Arabidopsis thaliana: one gene and its partner. The protein of the gene in region 2 purifies or fractionates together with the protein of the main gene of each other region. This does not show direct contact. Each region holds a gene or a part of one and is shown on either strand. Other genes may lie near its edges.

Region 1 (7,705 bases), on a different chromosome or scaffold from region 2:
GTCAAGCATATGGAGCTGGTCAAGTCAATATGTTAGGAGTTTATATGCAGAGATCTTGGATTATCTTGTTCGTTTCTTGTTTCTTCCTCCTTCCTATTTACATCTTTGCCACGCCGGTTCTGAGACTACTCGGTCAAGCAGAGGAGATCGCTGTTCCAGCTGGACAGTTCACTCTTCTAACCATACCACAGCTCTTCTCACTGGCCTTTAATTTCCCAACCTCTAAGTTCCTTCAAGCACAGAGCAAAGTGGTTGCTATTGCTTGGATTGGATTTGTGGCTCTTTCCCTTCACGTTATTATGCTCTGGTTGTTTATAATCGAGTTTGGTTGGGGGACAAATGGTGCTGCTTTGGCGTTTAATATTACAAACTGGGGAACTGCAATTGCTCAAATTGTTTATGTGATTGGTTGGTGTAATGAAGGCTGGACTGGTTTATCTTGGTTGGCTTTTAAAGAGATTTGGGCTTTCGTTAGACTCTCCATTGCATCTGCTGTTATGCTTTGTCTTGAGATCTGGTATATGATGAGTATCATTGTTCTTACTGGCCGTCTTGACAATGCAGTTATCGCTGTTGATTCCCTTTCTATATGGTTAGTTTTCTGCAACATTTTACATCAATAAGCTTGAGAAACTTGTATCTGACTCTTTAACGTTTTCACTCTTTGGTTTTTAACATTTCAGCATGAATATCAACGGCTTGGAGGCTATGTTATTCATCGGAATAAATGCAGCTATAAGGTATCATCACTATCTGACCTTTTTTCCTGTTATTCAGGTAACTAGTAAACTCATGTGTATATTTGTGTACTATTAGTGTCCGTGTATCCAATGAGCTTGGCCTAGGCCGTCCACGAGCAGCTAAGTACTCTGTCTATGTCACGGTCTTCCAGTCTCTCCTCATTGGTCTTGTCTTTATGGTGGCTATCATCATAGCCAGAGACCATTTTGCTATCATCTTCACAAGCAGTAAAGTACTTCAGCGTGCAGTGTCTAAGCTAGCTTATCTTCTTGGTATAACCATGGTTCTCAACAGTGTGCAGCCGGTTGTTTCTGGTACTAAAATCTAAACCTGATATATATATAAACCGAACTGGATATCTCATCAGATTATAACCGTCCTGATTTGTTCATCTTTTTAGGTGTGGCTGTTGGAGGCGGTTGGCAAGGCTTAGTGGCCTATATCAACTTGGGCTGTTACTACATTTTTGGCCTTCCCTTTGGATATCTTCTTGGTTACATTGCAAACTTTGGAGTGATGGTTAGAGAATTTAGAAAATGGCATGAGTTAAGTCAGTTAATGCTGAAGCTAAAACTTATGTATAATGTTTTCAGGGACTTTGGTCTGGAATGATAGCCGGGACAGCGCTTCAAACGTTGTTACTGTTGATTGTTCTGTATAAGACAAACTGGAATAAAGAGGTAAGAACCAGATATACAACACCATGTTTGTTATATACACTTTTTCATTCCTTGAATTGAATCGATCTCAACTGTGATGAACAGGTGGAGGAGACGATGGAACGTATGAAGAAATGGGGAGGGAGTGAGACGACATCCAAGGATATACTTGCGTGATTGATGTTTTTTTTTTGTTAAGCTTAGTAGTGACTTTTTGTTTGTCTTTCATTGGTTTGGGCACCAAATTGTTCTATTTAGAGTTTTAGATTGTAGGAAACTGTTCCATCAGTTATGTTTTGTTACTTACTTCCAAAAGGAAAAATTGCATTACAAATGTTAGTTACTTTTCCTCATGTAACCCAAATGTATCAAAAAAATTTGTAACCCAAATAAAATTCCAGATGCTTGAGAATAAGCCATTCTAGTTTTTTCATCCTGCTATATATGTTGTCAATGATATTTAATAAAGAAGGTCAGGATGGCCGAGTGGTCTAAGGCGCCAGACTCAAGTTCTGGTCTTCGTAAGAGGGCGTGGGTTCAAACCCCACTTCTGACATTAGTTTTTTGTTACAGTTTCTGCGTGAGCTTTTTGTATTTACATTTCCTTGGCTTGTGTCCTAAAAATGCAACGTGTCTTCAAACTTTGTTTTGTTTGTGTGCAAATTCTTGCGGCGTTTTACATTTGCATTACGAGGTGTCATTATTTAAAGAAATCAACCTCAGTCGACAAAATTCTATTATAATTGTTCCATATATCAAAAACTTGTCGAAAAAGTTAGCGCTGGAAGCCAAGTGAACATAACCAGGGTTCAAAATGATTACAAAGCTCAAAATTTAAGATAAACCCTAAAACCATACAGATTCTAAAGAGACCGAGACAAAGCAAAATCTGAGGTACTGGGAAGAGCGTAGAGTAGAAAACTTCTAAGCAGCAGTAGCAGCCTTTGGCTTCTTAGGCATACGGTAGCCACCAACGACACATGCATGGTCACGCTCAAATGGCTCAAGCGTCACTTGCTCAGCTGGTTTGAATTGCTCCTGTTGAAGCTTCTTCACTTCAGTCTGGAACACAGCTTCTGCTGGAACGGTGGAGTCGATACAGTTTGCCTGCAAAAATGAGACAATACATGTTCACTAATCTTTCTCTCTTGAGAGATCATGGATTAAATAAATGTTTCGATTGCTACCCACCTTTATTGAGATCACAAAGTGTCCTCCTGACTTGAGGAAGTATGATGCATTCAAAGCCAAGATCCTAGCCTGCACGGTTTTAAATGGCACAGAAAATTTCATAAACAAAACAGTATAAAGTATACTAGAAGCAACCCACAAGCTGAATGGCATTTAGAAAACAAGTAGGTTTAACATCAGGAGAACCAAAACCGAGCAATAATAGACATTTAAATTTAGTATTGTTCTTAAAAACGAAATTGTAAAACAAGTACATAGTAAAATAAGATTAAGCTTAACAAAAACAAAAACAAGAATTTTCAGTACATCAGAAACTTGGAGATTGCATCACCCATAATGATCTGAAGGGGAATCCAAGTAAGATCATCATTTGCAATTATCAAAACACCATTTTAAAGCAAAGGACACATATAATGGTATTGGGTCAAGCTTTTTGAGGCAAATATTTAGACATTCATTGTGAGTTAAACAAAAGAAGCAAACCTGATCTGGCTGAGCAACATCAGAGAAGATAACATCAACCATGCCTACAAGCATTCTGTATTTAGCTGGGTGTCTAGCATCCTCGATGATTGGAATAACATTGGTTCTCTTCTTTGCCATGTTCACCAAATCTCTACCACTTCTATGAGAAAACTCAACCGCGTACACACACCCCTCCTATCAGATCACAAAGGCAATATATAAGAAACTCCAATACACGTCTAAAACCTGATAATCACAACATAAAGGACGGGTTCTGCTTACAGGGCCAACAAGATCAGACACATGAGAGACTGTGGTTCCAGAAGCAGCACCAAGGTATAGAACTTTAGCACCAGGTTTCTACATTGAAACGGGAACAACAATCAATATATGAACCAAGTCTCGCAAACAACAACAATAAGATTCACACAAGCTGATGCTTACAATCCAGATGTTATCAACACCACCAAGAATAGCAGCAGCCAACTTCGAACGGAAAGGATTCCAAACTCTGTATTCAGTCTTGGTTCCATCTTCGTTCTGCAGATTCAATCACAAGAACCATTAAAAACAAATTCATCAAAAGGAGTGCAAATACAAACCATCAATCAATTAATCAATCCTCTATAATACCTGAACAGAGATTCTCTTCTCGTTGTAGACAGCTTCACCAGGAACCAAATTCTTGGTAACAAGGGCATCTTCTTTACCCTTTGCAATGAACACTCCTGCGTGTCTGTGAGGTTCCACAATCACTTTGCTTCCTCCTTTCATGCCTCCACGGCCAGCTGGTCCTCTGCCGCCGCGAGCACCACCACGTGGTGGTCCTCTTCCTCTGCCGCGACCACCACGGTCGCTGAAACCTCTTCCTCCTCCTCTACCACCGCCACCTCGACCACCACTGAATCCACCGTCACCTCTACCACCACTGTATCCACCACGCCCTCTTCCACCACTGAACCCACCACCACTTCCTGAACACAAAAGACCATTCATTAGAGACTCCATGTTTAACATAAAACCCAACCATCAACTCTATATCCGATAGAACTAACGCAGACCCAATACAGTTCTAAGCAAAAAAGAACAAAGTTGACAATCAGTTCAGCTAAAGACATAAAGTTTTAAAGACTAAACGAGCTAAGAGTGTCACTCGCCATTGTTAATCTGATAAGCAAGCAATGAAGAAAAGAGAAGAGGCGGCTAGGGTTCTTACCAGTTAGAGGAGGTCTCATCTTTGCGTTAAGACTCTAAAGAATGCGAAAATCAAGGAGAAAAGCTTTTGATGAGAGAGAGAATGGCGATGGCGATGAAGCTGCGCTCGCAAGTGTTTTTATACATGTGTTTCAAGCTAGGGTTTTAACAGGGTTTTAATTTAACTCGCCTTATTTATTATTATTTACGTTTTAATCCTTATATTATGTATACATATCTTTTTCTGCTGTCAACTATTTAGAATTAACATTTTGCCCCTCGTAGTTAAAGCTTTATGAAATTCTATCATCACACACACTAACGTGTTACAGCAACAACAAAATTGTGTGTAAATATATTAATCGTCTTACCATTGTAAATTGTAATACACAACATTTAATCGTTACCATCATTTCTCTACACATAAGAAAACAAATACCCAAAAACCAGAAAATTCTAGTTCCAGAGCGAACATGTCTCTTACAATGAAACTGGGCTGCTAAATATGTGGGCTTTAGTTATAGTGGTGTGGGCCATAATAATTTTCATAAATAGTTTATGGTAAAAGCCCACATAATTAGTTTATACGAGGTCCACTCTAACATTACAAGTTCTCATAAATAATTTTCTTCTGTAGTCTGTTTATACAAGGTCCAATATAACATACAAAAATCACTTATGATAAAAACTTATTTATAAATATTGATTTTAAAGCAAATTTTAAACTTTATTATACTCAAACCTATCTTTACTTTAGTCTACCGAAGTGGAGACTCATGTTAACTCGAAAATACAAAATGATTAGTGAGTTAACATGTTCACATACAATGAAAAGGAAATCATATGTAGACACAGTGTTAAAACACTAATTCTAGATAAACATATCACAATCAATGAATGAGTTAGTGAGATGAGATTATTAGTGAATATGTTACACACGGAATGGATAAATTAGAATGAAAGAAATAAATGTGAGAGAATGGAGAGGGAAGTGTGCATGTGGGATGTTGGGGAAAATAGGTCCCATTACCCATCCTTTTTTCTTTTTGAGTCTCTCCCTACCAATCATTATAACTTTTCTCAACTTATACATTCTGAACTATTTATTTCTATTTGTCAAATTAATGGTTATGCTTTAATACATTTATATCCCAATTGGCATATACATGTTGTAGAGTAGCTAGCTATGTCATAGGCTTGAAAATGTTTTTGTTTATAGGAATGAAGATTCCCATTGATTATTCCACTTATTTGGCACTTTTTATCATGTTCAATGTCTACTAGATAAGCATGTGGCTACTAGTGGATGGCCACCTTTGGGGGTAAAATTTTGTTAGTAATATACCATTTCTAGTTATATTTTTAATATGTATACCTATGGACATATCCATTTTGTATCTATCCACACGTTGCAAGACTTACATTAGTTACATAATTCGAATATATAATAATTTCGATCTGTAGAGGTGTGGAAAAGTGAAGCCTTGTTTAGTTGACTTGTTGATTAACTGAATTAGATATCTAAGCTCGTATATATGATTTCATTATGTTATAACGCATAGTTGATTAAACTTACTAGATTACTATCAATAACTGATTTCCGTTTTAAACTTAGGTTTACAATAGATCTATATACGTAGATGAAATTTTCGAGCATAGTAAGAAGAATTTACAATCTAAGTTTAAAGTCATACATTGTTTGATCTATATCTCTATCTATAATATATAAAATTATATTAAAAAGGAGAAAATGTGCTGAAAAGTTTGTATGATGAAAATGAATAAATCATTGTTTTAAATTGAAGTTAAATTTACGTAAATGTGTGCCGCTATTCCACATAATTGTAAAAGGCAATCTTAAAAAGTAATTTTCAAAGTCAAGGTAAAAGAGTAGATATTTAATTTATAGTTCGTCAAGTAAAGATAAATCCTCCTATTTTAGTAGTCACATGTTTTATTGCTAGGGCTGCTGCTTTATTTGTCATATTACTTGCGATCGAGACAATAGAGTAGAGACGACGATGTATGTCCACCAAAACAAATCGATTTTCATGAAATATTATCAACTATTCTTTATTATTTTTTTGGGTATGAATGTTAAGTAACTATTATTTATTTTTTCAAACCAGATCCTAACAATCTACATAAAGAGCTAAACCACCATGTGCATAATGAGCTAACACACTTTGCAATGACAATATGTGATAGGACGCATCACACACATCTTCCGTAAAGAGAATACTAACAACATTATTACGTCTACCTAAAATTGTGTACATGCTTTGATAGGATGTAATAGAAAAACTTGACCAACACCACACATGTTTTCTACTTTAAAACAAGTACATTTGTATGGACTTAACACCATAATGTTTTGAAACCCGGTATCTGAACCATGTTCAGTTTTTTTTTCTTATAAATATCAGTCTTAAGAATTTTTCTTAAGGATTCACAATCCAACATGAGCATAATAGAGAGAGAAGTAATTGCTATATTCTCAATAACAACACTTGACATATACTAATTTAAGAGCATCCTCATAATAACATCTAAGTATTTTGTTATACAACTTCTTTAAGTTTCCAATAATGACTTAAATGTTAGATGGTCATTGGAAGACATCCATGATTGCTTCGAGTGGCTTCTACTAAGGATATGCTCATCTATTCAAAAGACTATATTTTGCCATGATTGATGATAAAATCTAAAAAATGTATATTAACATCGCAAATGAAATTGGATATTCACATACAAAAATAATTGTATATTACGTATTCCATAGTACTTAAGTATTATGATATATATATTTTTTCTTTTTCTTTTTCAAAGCATTAGAATAAAAACATTCAAAATATGTTTGATAGGTTTTTCTATACTTCATTTATGTTACTGATATAGTGTTTAAATAATGTAAAAGTGAATATCCAACTTCTCAAGAGACAAAGAAAGGTAAAGGGTCGCATTCGTACACACGCACGAGGGATACACGTAAAAGTCATTACGCAACTCAACAAAAGCAAAAGAAGAAGAGAATGCGATGCACACGTGCGCTCTCTTTTAGCCCATAAAACCCTTCTCTTCTTCCCTTTTTCATTGGCCTATAAAATCAATTTTACTAAACTAACCTCTCAAATCTTTTTAGTCGCTTTGGTTTAGTTTAATCATTCACAAATGACAAATGACAAACCCTACAAAATCCTTATCGAAACCACCCTCACAAATCTTCTTTGTCGCTTTGGTTTAGTTTAAATGTTTAATCATTCATAAAACACAAACCCTACAAAATCATAATCGATACATCATCGAAGATCCGCCATTACTAAAGTATGGCGGCTAAGAGCAGTGAAATTCTCCTCCTAATTCTAGTCTCATGTGTATAAAAAACCTTAAAAGGAAATAACAATAATAAAAAGTCAACTACTGGTTAGGCAAACTAATAGTATAGTTGTTAACCA
Region 2 (8,427 bases):
TCATCATACGTAGCCCGAAAGAAGTATTGACTACGGATGGAAGCGAGGGACGGACTTGTTGCAGAATACGTAACAATCGGCACCTGAGATTTTTGTCCCATCTCAATCATGAATTGAGCCTGCATCGAAGTCCATGGCCCTAGAATCGCTTTCACTTCCTTGTTCGTTATCAGATCAAGAGCTGTGACAAAGTCAACGCCAAGGAGTGTTTTGTTATGCAAAAAAAAAACCTTTGGAGGAGAAAGCATAAATGTAGATAAGAAGTGTGCATATGAACTGATGATTGATGACACACACGTATCTCAGTGCATGCAAATTTAGAGAAATGGGTATGCGTGTACCTGCTGCTGCTGCGGTAACAACATCATTTTTGGAGTCAACAACGGTGGTTACAAGCCTTGTTTGGGTTTCTGGATGAGAAGAGTAGAAATCAGAAAGAGACATGTTGATACAGAGCAAAGTCATGTTGGAGTAAGCCGTTCCGATATCATTCACGATTCCCACATTTACATTGGTTATCCTATTTTGTGCTTCTCCGACCTGCATCAGGAAGACGATTACAAAGAAGAGTAAGCTGAGAACGAGGTTGTTTTCTCTCTTCATTTTATTCTTCTTCTACTTAGCCGAAAAAGAATGAAACTTGGTGGTCTATATGTATGCTCTTTGGTGTGGCATGAGACCCTTTGGTAATTGGAGAAGTCGTGATATTGTTAATTACGAACTTGTTGAATTTATTCCAAAGTATATAATATTTAAGGCAGCAACTTGTTTTTTTTTACATATTCTAATTTAACCAACAATTAAAGTCAACCGTTGCAAAGGAGGAGACTTCGTCTCATGCATAATTAACAATAACATAAGAATCATTGACCGGATTCCATGTGACCACTCAAAAGAGCAAGACACTCATAAACGTTCTCAGCTCGTAAATGAGACCTGTCCTCAGCAAAGAAATGGCACACTTTGTCACTCATCTCAATCCAACTGCAGCCCGGTTTCTTCCTCAATCCCATTTCTTTCATTTTTAATCTGACTCGTCTTGCTGCATCCCATGACTCACCAGAAGCATACAAATTGAACAAGACCATGTAGGTTGATGCATCATCTGGATAATTCTCAACAAGCAATCTTGCGATTCTATCTCCCAATGAATGTTCCAGGTGCAAGCAACAAGCAGAGAAGAGAGTACTGAGAAGCTCTGCATTGTCACTTGTCTCTGGTGTTTGTTGAATAATTTCATAAGCTTCAAGCAACCGACCTGCTCGGCCAAGAATGTCAATCATGCACGAGTAATGTTCAATAATAGGCTCGATTCCGTACTTTGATCTCATTTGACTGAAAAATTTGAGACCCTCATCAATTAGCCCAGCATGACCACAAGCTGACAATACAGCAAGAAGAGTAACCCCATCAGGTTTTAGACCAAACTTCTGCATTTCATCAAACTGGTAAAGTGCTTCTCTGGGTTGACCATGAGATCCATACGCAGAGATCATTACCGTCCATGATACAACATCCTTCTTTGGTATACTGTTGAAAATCCTAAAAGCCTCTTTTTCATTGCCGCATTTAGAATACATGTCAAGAAGCGCACTCAAAAGCAACTCGTCTGTTTCGAGCCTGCTCTCACTAATGGACAAATGAATCTGTTTGCCTTTCTCTAACGCAGCCAGTTGCGAACAAGCAGGTAAAACACTTGTGAAAGTTACCACGTCTGGCTTCACTCCAACACTCACCATTTGGTCATACACTTCAACAGCCTTAAACCAATTACCTACACTGATATAACTAGAAATCATGACATTCCATGACTCAGCAACGTCCTTCTGTGTCTTTGAAAAGACGGTTTCAGCCAAATTTGCTTCACCACACTTGAAGTATAGATCAATCAAGGAACAGTTCACATAGATATCTGCATTTACAACGCTTCTAATCACATAACCGTGTATAAATTTTCCATGTAGGAGATTCCGTGAGCGAGAGCAAGCCATCAAAATGCTGGTCAAGGTTGTCTGACTCGGTCGAGTTCCTTCTATGATCATTCTATTCAAAATCTCAACACATGACTTACTGTCTCCTTTAGCGACATAACCTTTGATCATAGAATTCCAAGCAACCAAACTCTTTCTAGGCATTTTCTGAAAAACCTCCCTAGCCACCTCCAAGCAGTCACATTTCCCATACATATCAACAAGGGCAGAGTTTACATACTCATCTAACTCAAACCCTTTCTTCACACATTTTCTATGTATCTCCTTCCCTCTCTCCAACCACAACAGCCTTGAACACGCCGATATAGCCACCGTCAACGAAACTGAATTTGGTTCAAAGCCAGAACTTTCCATTCTTCCAAACAACTCCAAAGCCTTCTCTGCCTCTCCACTTTGATAAAAACACGAAATAACCGTGTTCCAAGATGCTACATCTCTCTCAGGCATTTCATCGAACACTTGTAGTGAATTCTCAAACAAGTTAAACTTTGCATACATACCAACCAAAGAACTCGCCACAACCACATCACAAACATACCCACTCTTCACCACAAGAGTATGAATCATCCTACCAAGAAACTCTCTACCCAACGCACCATAAGCCTTAATCACATTCGGAAAAGTAAACGAATCAGGGACACAAATTGAGCAATTCAACAACCTCTTGAAAACCTCAAGAGTGTCATGAAACATTGAGTTCTTTGAATAACCAGACATTAAAGAGTTCCATATGTAAACATCCGATCGTATATCGAAGTTCTCGAAGACGTGTCTCGCTGAGCAATGGTCTTTACAAGTAAAGTAGACATTGATGAGACTTTTGCATAAAACTACGTCTCTTCGTAACCCCAACGTGAGTATTCTCTGATGCACAAGCTTGATTCTTCTTAGAGACTTGGTGCTATTGGTACACTCTCGCAATAAAGACAACAACTTTGAAGATTCCATTTCAAGTTCACATTTTTTTTTGTCGTGAGAGATTGAAATGTGATCAGTCGCTGCTTTAGCTAAATTATAAAGGAAAGACATGATTCAAACTACGACGTCGTTTATACTAATGGGCCAAACTTAATTAGGCCCAAAATGATTTATTTTTCTAAATTAGCGATGCGTTTTAAAACCCTAGGTTACAAAAACGCGCCGTTAGCAATAAAAACGCAGCGTTTTGAGAATCTCTGAACCTTCTTCAACAACTATAAAAACCATCTTAAACCCTAGCAGAATCGCGGCTCCTGATTTTAGCTCTCTCTAAAGCTGTAGTTGTGCGTTAACCCTCTAAGGTACTGAATCTCTCTCGCCCTCTCTTTCTTCGTTGTTATGGCAAATAAGCTTCCAAAATTCTAAGACTTTGACAAAGTATAGTTCTGTTCTTTGTCGGATTTTCAAGAATTTGAACAGAGTATCTGCCTTAACTATTATTCTGATTTGTAAACTTCGAAACAGGGAAAAAGTTTTACCTTGAATATTGTTTCGTACTAGCTTAATGGCTTTAGCTCGTAAAACACTAACTTGCAAGTTTGGTGACTTTGAGTTGATTCAAGGGTTTCTCTTAATCTTGTTTTTTCTTCTTTTCAGGAGCTTGTAAAAATGCTAATACTGTTTGAGACGCCAGGTGGTTTTGCCATCTTCAAAGTATTAAACGAAGGAAAGCTCTCTAATGTTGAGGTTACTAACTAAATCATTCTCCTTTGTTCATTTATCTTAACCTTGTTTCTGTGTGTGGTTTGGTTTTTTAATTCTAAGTATGTCAAATTTGTGATTGTAGGATTTGGGTAATGAGTTCTCGACCGCAAAGTTAGCCCGAAAGGTGATTTATTTTGTTCTAGACATAGTTCAAATTTTGTATCTGGCTAATAATATTTGTTTCTCATAGCAATTTTTGGTGTGTTGTTACAGATGGTGAAGCTAGTAGCTTTTGACAAGTTTGACAACACAGCTGAAGCTCTTGAAGCAGTGGCTAAATTGCTTGAGGGAACTCCAAGCAAGGGTCTACGCAAGTTTTTGAAAGCTAACTGTGTTGGTGAAACATTAGCTGTTGCTGATTCTAAGCTTGGAAATATCATCAAGGAGAAACTGGTGTGTATTTTGTTCCGATACGCTCTTTTATTTCTGAGTAAGGGTTGTTTCTTACGGTTTTGCTTCACTCGTGTAGAAAATAGTCTGTGTTCACAACAATGCTGTTATGGAGCTGTTAAGAGGTATCAGAAGCCAGCTAACTGAACTTATATCTGGATTGGGTGATCAAGATCTAGGTCCAATGAGCTTGGGGTTGTCTCACAGCCTTGCCAGATATAAACTAAAGTTCAGTTCCGACAAGGTAGTCATTTGATTTGTATTGGTTTTTGGTTCTCTGAATTATTTGTTGAGTTAGCCAACTTTTGATAAATTATGGAACTTTTGGTATCCCTTTTTTTACTCTTCCAACATTAGGTCTGAATTGCAATTGAGTTTGTCTATATATCCTGTGTTTGTTTGACCCTTATGTTACTTCACCTTGTACTTGTATGTTAGGTGGATACCATGATAATCCAAGCTATTGGTCTGCTTGATGATCTTGACAAAGAGCTTAACACTTACGCTATGAGGGTTCGTGAATGGTTTGGTTGGCATTTTCCTGAGCTTGCTAAGATCGTACAGGACAATATCTTATATGCCAAGGCTGTTAAACTAATGGGGAATCGGATTAATGCTGCAAAGCTAGACTTCTCTGAGGTAAAGGCCTGTTTGAGTATTTGACTTCCTTGTGCTTAACACTAGTTTTTTTTTTTTTGAAACATTGTTTCTGTGTCCTCCTCTCAGATATTGGCTGATGAAATTGAAGCAGAACTGAAAGAGGCTGCTGTGATATCTATGGGAACTGAAGTCAGTGACCTTGATTTATTGCACATCCGAGAACTCTGTGACCAGGTTCTTTCTCTTGCCGAGTACAGAGCTCAGCTTTATGACTACTTGAAGAGCAGAATGAACACAATTGCACCAAATCTAACTGCCCTTGTCGGGGAGCTAGTCGGTGCTCGCTTAATATCTCACGGTGGTAGTTTGTTGAACCTCGCAAAGCAACCTGGAAGCACGGTTCAGATTCTTGGAGCTGAAAAAGCCTTATTTAGAGCCCTTAAGACCAAACACGCTACTCCAAAGTATGGTTTAATTTTCCATGCATCTGTTGTTGGCCAAGCTGCACCGAAGAACAAGGGTAAAATTTCACGGTCACTAGCTGCAAAATCTGTTCTTGCTATCCGTTGTGATGCTCTTGGTGACTCCCAAGACAACACTATGGGAGTTGAAAACCGTTTAAAGGTATCCTTCAATTTTTTTTTTTCCGATCTTCCTCTCGATCTGATCTAAAAATACTCTACCTTGATTGATGTTTACCATGCGGGCTATTTTCTTCTGACAGCTTGAAGCACGGTTGAGAACTCTCGAAGGAAAAGATTTAGGACGTCTATCTGGCTCAGCTAAAGGCAAACCAAAGATTGAAGTATATGACAAAGATAAAAAGAAAGGATCCGGAGGTCTGATCACTCCTGCTAAGGTCAGATTATTCCTCTGCTAGTTTGTTTCTTCAACTTTCTTTTGTAATTATGAATTCTGGATTTGTGCAATTGTGTTTTGGATATATTACCTGTAATGTTGCTTAAAGGATTAAGCTGTTTGTTGTTGTTGTTGTTGTTGTATTCTGCAGACATACAACACTGCTGCAGACTCTCTTCTTCAAACTCCCACAGTGGATTCAGAGAACGGTGTGAAAGAGAAGAAAGACAAAAAGAAGAAGAAGAAGGCTGATGATGAGGAAGAAGCCAAAACTGAGGAGCCCTCAAAGAAGAAATCGAATAAGAAGAAGACAGAAGCAGAACCTGAAACCGCCGAAGAGCCTGCAAAGAAGGAGAAGAAGAAGAAGAGAAAACACGAGGAAGAGGAAACTGAAATGCCTGCTAAGAAGAAGGAAAAGAGTGAGAAGAAGAAGAAGAAGAAAACTGAGGTCTGAAGAGACCTTTAATATTTTTGCGTGGTCTAGTTTACTTTGTTATCAGAAACAAAGAAAATCTTTTGTGGCGTTAGGTGTTAAGTAAGGTTTTTGTTTTGTTTGAAACTTAAAAAAAAGAACTACTCTTCGTTTTGTAAGGTTATAATATGTTTGGTTTAGTCCTTATCCCAGAAACTTGCATTTTGCCAAACGAGTCAAGACCTTACCGTTAAATCCTTCTAATCTTAGTATAACGTAATTACTCATAGTTGATTAGTTCATAAATTTGTAAAGATCAGTCCGAAGAGTCGACATTTTTCATCAAGTGTATCATTGACATTTTAAAAAACCTTGTACAAAATGAATATTTGTGAGTCTAAAAAGTACCTTAATAGTCAATTGGAAATGGATTGGGTTGAGCATAAGGCAAATCATACCAGACCTTAGAAATTTCAAAAGATAAATAAAATCTAGAGTCTACCTACTTTGTGTGTGTATATATTTTTATTGTGCTATAAATTTTGTGATGAATATGAATCAAAATTCTTTCTGAATATTTCGTGATAATGGTTCCGTCAATATCAAAATTTACTACTGAACATATATGTTTTAAAATATTTAACTGGATTTTAATTCATAAAGTTTTTTTTATTTTTAATTAAATTTAGTTGCCGTGGAAAAAGTTTAATCTATAGTGTTTTATGTAATCATTGTAGGTAATGTTCAAAAAATCTGCCTAGACACCTATCGAACTGGATTTTAATTTATAAAGTCTTTTTATTTGTAAGTAAACTAGTAGGCAGCCCGTGCCTTGCACGCAAAACAACAATACCAATAATATATTTCGTGTCTTTGAAATTTGCAACAATTACACAAATGACGAATATCACAACCTCACAAAATACAATGTGTATCACACATTGCTCTATAACTCTCAATAAAAGTCCTATTCAACTTTACTCAAATTGTAAAATAATATATGTGTTAAAATTAAGAAAACTTTTATTGGAAACAGCAAATAATCTTACATAAATACACTAACTTATCTCATAGATATATAGAAAAAAATATATATATATATACAGAGCCGTTTTTTCTTCTCAAAAAACTTAACAATAATAATGATGGAGAAATGAATTACCTTCTAACCAAAACGCTTTTCTAAACTTGAACATATAAGATGGTTTCACATTTAAATTATTTTGCACACTACACCGTGGAAGAAGATGTCATGTCATGCCACCCATCTCTCAATTTGGTTATCTTCTTCTTCTTCTTCTTCTTTTTCTGAATTGAAAGCCCCAAAACATTTGCATCCATTTTGTTTCTATATGATTCTCGCAAACTCATGTGGTCATTTTGTAGCAGCGGGTGTGCATGGAAAATGTAAGAAGATAAGACCAAGTAAAACGCAACAAAACGGCCAAAGGTTTATTGATATTCATACCAGCGATTGGGTGGACCAAACTCAGTGAGTCGTGAGGGGTTAACAGCGTCCATCACATTAGGTATCACAAAAGTCTCAACTTTCATTATTTACGTCATTCTTTCGTTTCTCTGGTAGACGTATTTAGATGAAAGAATGGAGGATCTAAGATTATGAGAAAGGAAAGAAGAAGAAGAATTTAAACCTGTTTTTATCTTCTTGAGAATGGCTTATACGGTTGCTCTTGAGATCGTAAATTAACTGGCAGAGGGTTTGAAAGATGGGAGAGAAAGTAAAGAATCTTAATAACGTGGAAGAAGTAGTTGCTGAAAAAGTGGTTAAAAAAATTTAAATTTATCTTTTGTCAAAAAAGAATATTCTATTGAATAGTAAAAGGAAGTGAATTGGTTTACGATTGTGGAAGTGCAAAATTTTAGACTTAAAGCATACGTGTCAAAATGAGAAGCTTACAGTTTTTTTAAAAGTGACTGTTGATTTAGTATTATTAGATTTAGTTGCCGCGAAAAAGTTTAATATATAGTGTTTTATGTACTTATTATAGGTAATGTTCAAAAAAATAGCCTAGACATCTATCGAACGTCTAGCTACCGTACAACGATTTTTTGAACATTGATTATAGGTAACTAAATCTACATATACATTTTTGCCGCCATTTTGTGAAATAAATCTTAGAGTTGGAACTTATTTATAATGGCTGCCACTAGCTTTTAATTATTGTTTTTTTTGCAATAAATTAATTAACAAGCAAAAAAAATTCCAAATATATTCTAATCCCATATATCACGCAGATTTCTCCAAAATTGAACTAAATTTCGGTAACTATTTAAAACAAAAAATGTTTGACAAACCAAAATACAATTGCAATCCCTTAAAATGAGCAAAATGCACCTAAATACATTTCTTATCAATTCACTAAATCTAATTTCTCCAAAATTTGAATTAGATTTCGACAAATATTTTTAAAAAAATTTGTTTGACAAACTAAAATACAATTGCAATCCCGTAAAATATTTATTTTAATTATA

What was found.
Region 1: the proteins of AT5G27120 (region 2) and FIB2 fractionate together in Arabidopsis thaliana (co-fractionation; one large-scale study listed by BioGRID). This does not show direct contact.

What each region holds. Positions count from the first base shown.
Region 1 is NC_003075.7:13,070,825-13,078,529, reverse strand, and holds FIB2 (fibrillarin 2), read right to left. Parts: upstream 4,441-7,705; 5' UTR 4,292-4,440; coding exon 4,273-4,291; intron 4,031-4,272; coding exon 3,690-4,030; intron 3,597-3,689; coding exon 3,501-3,596; intron 3,417-3,500; coding exon 3,339-3,416; intron 3,252-3,338; coding exon 3,075-3,251; intron 2,968-3,074; exon of another isoform or gene 2,895-2,967; intron 2,661-2,894; coding exon 2,592-2,660; intron 2,508-2,591; coding exon 2,325-2,507; 3' UTR 2,098-2,324; downstream 1-2,097. Other genes in the region: DTX35 (detoxifying efflux carrier 35), read left to right, coding at 1-592, 684-740, 817-1,055, 1,142-1,260, 1,335-1,421, 1,506-1,573, 1,873-1,954. UniProt on the Arabidopsis thaliana protein: S-adenosyl-L-methionine-dependent methyltransferase that has the ability to methylate both RNAs and proteins. Involved in pre-rRNA processing.
Region 2 is NC_003076.8:9,537,709-9,546,135, forward strand, and holds AT5G27120 (NOP56-like pre RNA processing ribonucleoprotein), read left to right. Parts: upstream 1-3,152; 5' UTR 3,153-3,271; intron 3,272-3,566; 5' UTR 3,567-3,578; coding exon 3,579-3,656; intron 3,657-3,756; coding exon 3,757-3,798; intron 3,799-3,887; coding exon 3,888-4,067; intron 4,068-4,143; coding exon 4,144-4,308; intron 4,309-4,502; coding exon 4,503-4,703; intron 4,704-4,790; coding exon 4,791-5,288; intron 5,289-5,388; coding exon 5,389-5,523; intron 5,524-5,673; coding exon 5,674-5,976; 3' UTR 5,977-6,357; downstream 6,358-8,427. Other genes in the region: GLR2.1 (glutamate receptor 2.1), read right to left, coding at 1-181, 342-603; AT5G27110 (Tetratricopeptide repeat (TPR)-like superfamily protein), read right to left, coding at 864-2,939. UniProt on the Arabidopsis thaliana protein: Required for 60S ribosomal subunit biogenesis.